Oryzias latipes: one gene and its partner. The protein of the gene in region 2 interacts with the protein of the main gene of each other region in a pairwise test. Links are inferred from orthologs where the notes say so. Each region holds a gene or a part of one and is shown on either strand. Other genes may lie near its edges.

Region 1 (4,513 bases), on a different chromosome or scaffold from region 2:
GTTATTTTTGTTTGTTTGTGTAGAACCTGAACTGATCAGCACCAGCTTTTCTCTTTGTTTCCCTGCAGTTTATCTCTGGAGTCATGGCTGCCCTCAGCGCCATGGTGTCCCTGGAAATTCCACAAGTGAACATCATGACAAAGATGGACCTGCTGAGCCCCAAAGCCAAGAAGGAAATTGAAAAGTACGGACAAAGCACATCTGCCAGCTTTCAGAAAAAAATTAAAACGCCACAGAATTGATTATTTACAACCATTCTTAATACAGTCAGAAAACAAAATCAAGCAAATGTAGAGATTAATTTAGAAAAATAGAAACATCTGAAGAGGTGAGTTTGGAAAAACTAAAGAAAAGCTGCCTTTATTACTAGTTTCTTACAGATTAAAACCCAGCAAGTTCCACAAGGTTCCACTTAATGATTGGAAAAATAAACTTAATTTATTTTTTGCCTACATACATTCATTTATTAAAAGTAACGTTTAAATATTTACAATAATTAAACTAAAAATGATAAATATATAGTGATAAATTTAATATTTTTATGAAGTCCAAATACAACAGAAATTATTTAAAATACTCACTTTTATTGCCAGTAATGACATATTTTTGATAATTAACAGTTTAGCAAGTATTTGCTGACTAGAATTTAGATTTCTCAAAGTGTAGGTTGGACCTGCTGGGAAACAAACATAAAGTTTTGCTTATGGTTTTTGTTTTTCTATGTTAAAAGCATGAATGAACACTTTTGATTTATTTATTTTGATTTTTCTTTAACTGAGTGTTGTAAGTTTGCAGAAGTAAGTAAATGTTCCTTCATGAAATGCGTGTTTGTGTTGTTGTTTTTTTGAAGGTATCTGGACCCAGACATGTACTCAATGATGGAAGATAGCTCCCATACAATCAGAAGCGCCAAGTTCAAGAAGCTAACCAAAGCTATTTGTGATCTTGTAAGTGGACTTGCAGCTTTGTGGCCTAATCTGTTGTCGTGTGTCATTGCTGATTTTTTAAAATTCTCTAAACATTTGGCTTCTTTGTCCAGATAGATGACTACAGTATGGTAAGGTTTCTGCCCTTTGACCGGACTGATGAGGAGGGTATTAACATAGTGCTGCAGCACATCGACTTTTCCATTCAGTATGGAGAGGACCTGGAGTTAAAGGAGCCAAAGGTGAGAACATCTCTAGAGAAAAGATGATTTCTTTGATCTTTGATCTTTTATGTGACATTTGAGGTTTTGCTTTTTGTCTTTTGCAGGAAGGGGATGAAGAACCAGCTAATCTAAATTATGACGAGATATTCCAAGACACAGTTGGCAGCTGAAGCTGGAATCCAGATACAATAGTTGACAACGATGTTTGACTGATTGAAAGGTTGCATTGACTGCATGATTTAAACAAAAACAAAAAAGAAAAGAAATTTGAGTTTTTTATTGGGTGTTTTTTAGCCTCATCGTTTCGTTTTTTTGTTTTGTTTCTGTGTTGATTCTGTGGAAAACTCTGATTTATTATCAAAGGAAGATATAATGCTATTTATTTTTTCTAATAAAATCAATAAAACACATGCCTTGTTGCTTTGTAAAATCATAAAGTCACAAACTAAAAACAAAATGTCAAAAATGGCCTTGTAAACTCAAACCACGTGTCAGCGCCCCCAAGTGGTTGCAACGCCACATGACATCCAGCCACTTCCTGTAACTCAAAGGGTGCGACAGCCGGAAGTAGCGTCTCGCTGTGCTGACATTCCACTTGCTGAGCAGTTGGATTGATAGATTTCAGTCAACATGCCGGTTAGTAAATACCATCCTTCATGCCTTTTTTCAATGTTTATTTATTAGTTTTTGTGTGTAAATTTTGCCGGCTAAAGCAAAAATAGCTAGCCTAAAATTCTGGTTAACGCTAGCTTCACGATGATGAGTCTTTTAGCTTAGCTTATGCTTGCTAGCCTCTTTGGCATTTTAGCAATTTTAAAGTTTCGCACGTATAAATGAACAAATCTGTTGTTACTTTGTGACGTTTACACTTATTTTGACATTACCTGATTAGGGAGACATGGAAAGTGGCGGATTACTGATTTTGTTACAGTGATATATATGCGCTGCTGGAATATCTGAACTGGTGGTTCTGATGACAGCGATGTGTTCCTGTTTCTTTATAATGTCAGGCATATCACTCCAACCTGATGGAGCCGAACACCAGGATGATCGGAAACATGGCCTTGCTCCCCATCAAAACTCAGTTTAAAGGACCAGCGAGGGGAGACGGTGAGCATTTTTCATGACCCATTCACAGGCTGGTGCAACTGCATAAATGTTCCGTCTGCCGATACAAATCCCAAACTACCAGATAGGTTTAATGACCAAAAAAATCTCCTCTTGTTTGACTTGGCACCATTCAGAGTTTTACATGCATAGAGCGTCTGCTCAGTTCCTTATTTAAGTGTCAGCTGAACTTCCTTTTATGGTCTGAAGTCAATCCCCAGGTTGGTAGTTATTGACTTGTTTTATTTAGGTCGAAAAACCTCCTTTATTGACGTAGTATGGTATCTATTTTTTCTCTTCAAGTGTTAAAGAATTGCATTTTTTTTAAAAGGTGCTCAATTTTGCAATGTTTTTGTCTGTTTAGTCGCTATCTTTCAGATTTAAGAACAAAAAGCATAAAAAATGGGCTTCTGAAAAACAGGAAGTGACATAATTTTGCCCATGGATATTAAAAGGTTAAGTGGTAGTTAATTAAAAAATGTATAATATTGGTTTGCTAATGCGTGAATGTTTTTTTTCTCCAGGTGTAGAGTCTGATATAATTGATGAGGCTATTTACTACTTCAAGGCCAACGTCTTCTTTAAGAACTACGAAATCAAGGTATGAAATCCAAACTTTTCATTTGAAGGAACTGACAACTTATGTTTGTGGAGTGTTTACCACTCAGTGTTATTTTATGTTTATATTTTTGAAGGCCTAAAAAGTTCTTTACTTTTTAGATTATTTAAAGTTTGATAATCAATTTTCTAAAAAAAAAAAAAAGTACCTTTATAACATTTCATTACTTGTAAATGTTTTTTAAGTCCCCAAAAACCATGTAGCCATCTGGTGCACTCAAATCTGTCTTTAGTTTCTTCTCCCTGCCTTTTCTGTATCTTGCAGCTGCTTCACTTTTTTCCTTCTTTTCATGTCCCAGCGTGTTTTTTTTTCCCCCTACTTTTGTCAGGAATGCAATCCTTTCATAGCCTTTTTTTTCTCTTTAGGATAACGACAACCATTTCCTTTTCTGTCATTCAGAGCGGACCTTAGCGCTGACATAAACATTTGTGTGTCTCTTTTTCAGAATGAGGCCGACAGGACGCTTATCTACGTTACATTGTACATTTCTGAGTGCCTGAAGAAGTTACAAAAGGTAAATTGGAAGTTGGTTCTGGTAAATTTTGCTTTGAAACGTAGAAAAAAAGATTTTGTTGTACTTAATCTGTTTATTTTTGAAAGTTTGATGCTTTAGGAAAAAAAAACTGTCATTTTTTGCACTTTCCAGTGTAGCTCCAGAGGGCAGGGAGAGAAGGAGATGTACACCCTGGGCATCACAAACTTCCCTATCCCCGGAGAGCCCGGCTTCCCTCTCAACGCCATGTACGCCAAACCTGCGAGCAAGACGGATGAAGGTGAGAATCAAACGCTAAACGTAAACTCCATTTAAGCAGTTCTCCATGCTTAATGGAGTTTAGCGAGGACTAAAGCAGACAACGGGAAGGTAGTTAAGTGAAGAGCGACCCACAACACATCAGGTTTCCTCCTGCTGCTTCTGTAAAGTAGTTATCACCTTCTGCAATCTAAGCTTTTTTTTAAATCTTTTTTTTTTTTTTTAGAGGTGAAGGTTTTAAGAAAAAGATACACAAAAGATGATTAACCCTATTGTTTATTTGTTTATCTTTACACCTGGTTGCCAAGCTGGACATACAAAACTTTAAAATGACAAATAAAAAAAGTGGGATAATTAGAATATGCATTCAGTGTTTCCTTAAAAGTAAGGGAAATCACATCCATAGAAATGAAATTTCTTAATAATTTGGAGTTTTTTAAAGATAAAGTAGCAATTTTTTCTTAATAAAAAAGGTAGCAGATAACGCTTATTTATGTGGACACATCAATAGGGAAAAACTCTCTGAAATGCATTTTCTAGTCTACTGTACCTTTAATCCAGATATTCCCTTATGGTATTTCCTCTTATCTTGTATTTTTTAAGCTGTGCTTAAAGCAATAAATCAACCTGAACCACGACTCTTGTCCTGCGGGTTGTTTTTCCGATTCTTGAAAAAGTTTTACCATCTAAAAGTCTGATGTTTGCACGAGTTTTTTTTTTATATGACGTTAGATCCAAAGAGAGCAGATCTTTAATAACTTTAGAGATGACAGTCGGACAATTACTGTTCTGGTGATGACCCCGTGAAACACCGTTTTCAGAAATGTGACCTTTTATCTCATTTTTATTTGCACAAAAAAAAAGAAATAGATGTGGTTCAAGCATT
Region 2 (3,842 bases):
AAATGTTTATGAATTAAATTGTAATATTTTAGCAATGATTCTCAGCAGAGTGGAGAAACATTGGTTGCAGAAATGCTACTTTGACTCAGTCAAAAATAAAGATGCAAAGCACAAATGCACATTTTTTACAATTTAAACATGTATATTAGCATAAAATCACACAGACTTTTCTTTTCTATTTTTGCTCCTATTTGGACAACTTTTCATTTTTGAACAAACATTTCTATAATAATTTACACACATGTAAAGGTGACCCTGAATACTGAAAGACATTTTTCCCAAGGTTTTATTTGAACATCAAATTCACCAATTTTTCTTTTACATATAATCTATTACACCCTAATCTATATTACATCAATAAGGTTTAATGGGATACAAACTAAGATCAATGAGAGCAGATGAAATACTAAACAAATACAAATTTCCTAAGGAAAGGCTAGAAAGCTGAAGATGCCCCTTACAGTCAGTCCAATTGATGAAGTCGGACTCTTTTGCTCACTGGTAATCCTTTAAGTCCAAAATCCTAAATTTTTTTTAATCTTTTAAGTCTTGTTATATAAAATGATTGGTAGGCTGGGTCTGAGACATTGATGGTATTTATAGGAAAATGTTGTATCTATTTAATGAAGATGTTTAGCAATAATTCTTGTTTAAATGTCCTTTATCGCTGCATTGCAGTTACAGATATTTACCACAAGAGGGTGCTATAGGGTCTGGAAAACAAGAATTAGCTTTTAGAGTGATTTTTTTTTTCCATATAGTTTCTTTTAGTTTATTTTCTGCAAAGGTTGTGAATAAAAAACAAAGTGTCTCCATAAATGTTGAAATTTTAACTGCTGGTTTTTCTGTTTCTTGTCCTCTGCAGACACTGTCTTCAGCTGTGGTCCAGGTGTACACAGGTGATAGGAATGGCAGCTGGAACAAGAGATGCTGCGGGGTGGCCTGTCTGGTCAAAGACAACCCCCAACGTTCATACTTCATCAGAGTCTTTGACATCAAGGTAGCTTCAAGTCAATCTTCACTTTTACTTAAAGACTAGTAAAAGCACATTTTATAGTCAAACAATCCAAATATTTAGCATTAAAAGCTTCAGCAACTGTTAGATCCAGTTAGATTTGTTGGTTAATAAATGTGGTTGTCTCGTTTGTTTCTTGATGACAGGATGGCAGAATGATGTACGAACAGGAATTATACCAAGACTTCAAGATGCAGATGCCCAGGACTTATTTTGCAACATTTGCTGGAGATGTGAGTTCTCCGTTCGGAAAGAAAAATCCAGTTTTCTAAATGCACATTTCTGTGGACAAATACTTCCCTTCTTTTCGTAAAACCGCAGTTAGAGAAATCAAACTCTTTTGTGGGTTGTAGACATTAAATATAGTTGTTTCATATCCTTCAACTGTCCTAAAATAAAATAAGATTAATCTAGTATTTAGAACATTTTTGTTACCAAATTTTAATATCTTTTTTTTAATTTACTAATGGAATTTTCAAGAACATAAATGTTATTTCCATGAAATAATAGTTCAGAACTACTGCAAAAATGTCCAAAGTATGTGTGTGACACAGAAGAATAGCAGACAGGACTGATCGGAACTAGTGAACAGTTCTGTATACATTTTCCCGCATGTGCTTTCTGACAGACGTGTCAAGTGGGCTTAAACTTTGCCAACGAGGAGGAAGCAAAGCGTTTCAGAGGCAGCGTGTCAGAACTGATGGGAAGAAGACAGAGGAGAACTGGTACCTTCCCTTTTTCCTCAGCTTTGATCTCATAAAAAAAAAAGACAAGATTTACAACTTTTGTGTGTGGAAAAAAACTTCTTTTTGACATCTGGCGTGTAAAGCACTAAATTGGAAATGGATTTTAATAATAAAAAGTAATGGATGCAAATACTTAAACAAGTTGACTGTAAATGTAGCAGCTGATGTTCTATCGGATAGATCCGGCTGGATTAGCACTGTACTGCTTATCCAATCCACCTTTTTTATTTAGTTAAACTTGCTTCAAAGACATTTGGAGCACAAAAAAATGAAAATGTAAACTTGTCTTTTTTTTTTTTTTAACTGTATTGACACAGAACTGAGCAAAAAAAAAAACACTGATAAAAGGTGTAACCCTATAATTTATTAAAACCTTATTCCAACTATGAAGCAGAAATCCAGCGGGGCTAAAACATATTTTTCAGACACCGATTCTACTAGTTGTGATCTCTGATGAACATTACAGACTTCTCTCATCTTTTTAAATTGGTGAACTTCCATAAGCTATGACTGATGAATAGCAGTGGCTGTAATTTATCATTTTCCTTCATGTTTTTCTTTGCTCAGGTCCGTGTTCTGCTGCCGTTCGGTTCTTGTTCTAATCTCTTGCGGTCTCTTTCCTGCTCAAACTCTCCAACCTGTCACTGCTTAAGCTGTTACTCCGATGTTTGGGCTACACACTGAGGCACAAGTTGTGCTTCTAGCTTTTTGTTTCACAAAAACTAATCACAAATCCAATAAACTGGTGCTGCAAGAAAAAAAATAGATTTGTCAAAGTCACAAATTATTATTATTATTAGTGTTCCACACACAGCTTTAGGAAAAGCTGATAATAAACGAAAAAGACATTGATCCTGTTTTGTTATATTTTCATTTCTTTCGGCACCATCATTTGTTTGGAGCTCAGAATATCAGTTTTGATTTCCTCATAGGAACAAACGTTCACTGTTATAGTGTCATGGTTTTTATACAGCCGTCTTTCTTTTACTTTCTTTCTTTGACATTTCTTTCAGATGGATCGTTCTCTGCCGCCGTTTCTCCTCCAAACCCTTTTGTATTTAACACTTATAACCTCGTTTCTGTTTACCTTCCAAATACTAGACAAACAAGCAATTAGGACCTTAAGTAATTCATGTTTGTGTCCAGCTCTGAGACTCTGTGCTTTCATCAACCCCACTTTTCATATTTTATTCAGTAAGGGCAATCAATTCAAGTTTCCTCCTAAATCCACTAACTGACCTTTTATTCTGAAAACCTCCGATCTTTGCTGCTCCTGCACAATCCCGCCGACTCCTGCGCCAAAACCTCAAATGATCCTCCTTCTCTCCTAATGCTAACACCGATTAACACAACCTGCTGCTCAGCCACGGATTGTAATGATATAATTTGTGTTTTCACAGAGAAGAGACGTGGCCCTGCAGATGGTATGTTTGTTGAGTTTTTGTATGTTTCCTTTTGAAAAGCCAGCTAACTGTGACATGGGATTGTATTTATTTGTCACAAATGTCACATTTTTTGTGATTTTTTTTTTTCACAAGTTGATTCTTCCTGTTTTCACCGTGAAAACCTTTAAATTTTTTAAACCAAAGACATGAAATTCATTACTTTGTCGATTTTAGACTTTTCTTTTACCCATTAGGATAAAAGGTGATTCCTCACTTTTTGCTGTGAGCATTTCTGAAACAAATGTCCATAAAGTCCAGAAGTAAAAATAGAGGTAAAACAAATAAAACCACACCTGGTTTATACCATGACATCTTTTAATCCCCTTTAAATTTGGTCATGTGACTCCTCAAAAAACCTTTGTTGAAGTGTGTTCACCTGCTGATCAAAGACAGGAGACTCCAAAAAAAACGTAAGGATTTTCTATAGTCTCCACTAGATATCAGTTTATGTGAACTAGGTGATGTTCTTTTTGGGTAATCTTCCATCTCCTGATGTCTGTCACTACCTCTTTAGCCTTGTAGATGTAAATGATCACACTGCTGTCTTTATTCTGCTTGGTCAGGTGAGCCAGAAACACCCTGACCCTCTGAGGTCCAACTATCTCGCACAATGCTGTGGAATAGCATGGGGCTCAA

Evidence for each region.
Region 1: the proteins of wasl (region 2) and arpc3 interact in binary tests that used the Homo sapiens proteins (3 or more experiments, as listed by UniProt). The two-hybrid records come from large-scale screens. The link is inferred for Oryzias latipes from reciprocal best matches to the Homo sapiens genes WASL and ARPC3.

Annotation. Positions count from the first base shown.
Region 1 is NC_019870.2:16,796,371-16,800,883, reverse strand, and holds the start of arpc3 (actin-related protein 2/3 complex subunit 3), read left to right. Parts: upstream 1-1,653; 5' UTR 1,654-1,780; coding exon 1,781-1,786; intron 1,787-2,160; coding exon 2,161-2,260; intron 2,261-2,781; coding exon 2,782-2,858; intron 2,859-3,321; coding exon 3,322-3,390; intron 3,391-3,522; coding exon 3,523-3,649; intron 3,650-4,513. Other genes in the region: gpn3 (GPN-loop GTPase 3), read left to right, coding at 69-184, 851-947, 1,040-1,168, 1,255-1,320. UniProt on the Homo sapiens protein: Component of the Arp2/3 complex, a multiprotein complex that mediates actin polymerization upon stimulation by nucleation-promoting factor (NPF).
Region 2 is NC_019881.2:13,550,340-13,554,181, forward strand, and holds part of wasl (neural Wiskott-Aldrich syndrome protein), read left to right. Parts: intron 1-865; coding exon 866-1,000; intron 1,001-1,161; coding exon 1,162-1,248; intron 1,249-1,643; coding exon 1,644-1,740; intron 1,741-3,161; coding exon 3,162-3,185; intron 3,186-3,209; exon of another isoform or gene 3,210-3,842. UniProt on the Homo sapiens protein: Regulates actin polymerization by stimulating the actin-nucleating activity of the Arp2/3 complex. Involved in various processes, such as mitosis and cytokinesis, via its role in the regulation of actin polymerization.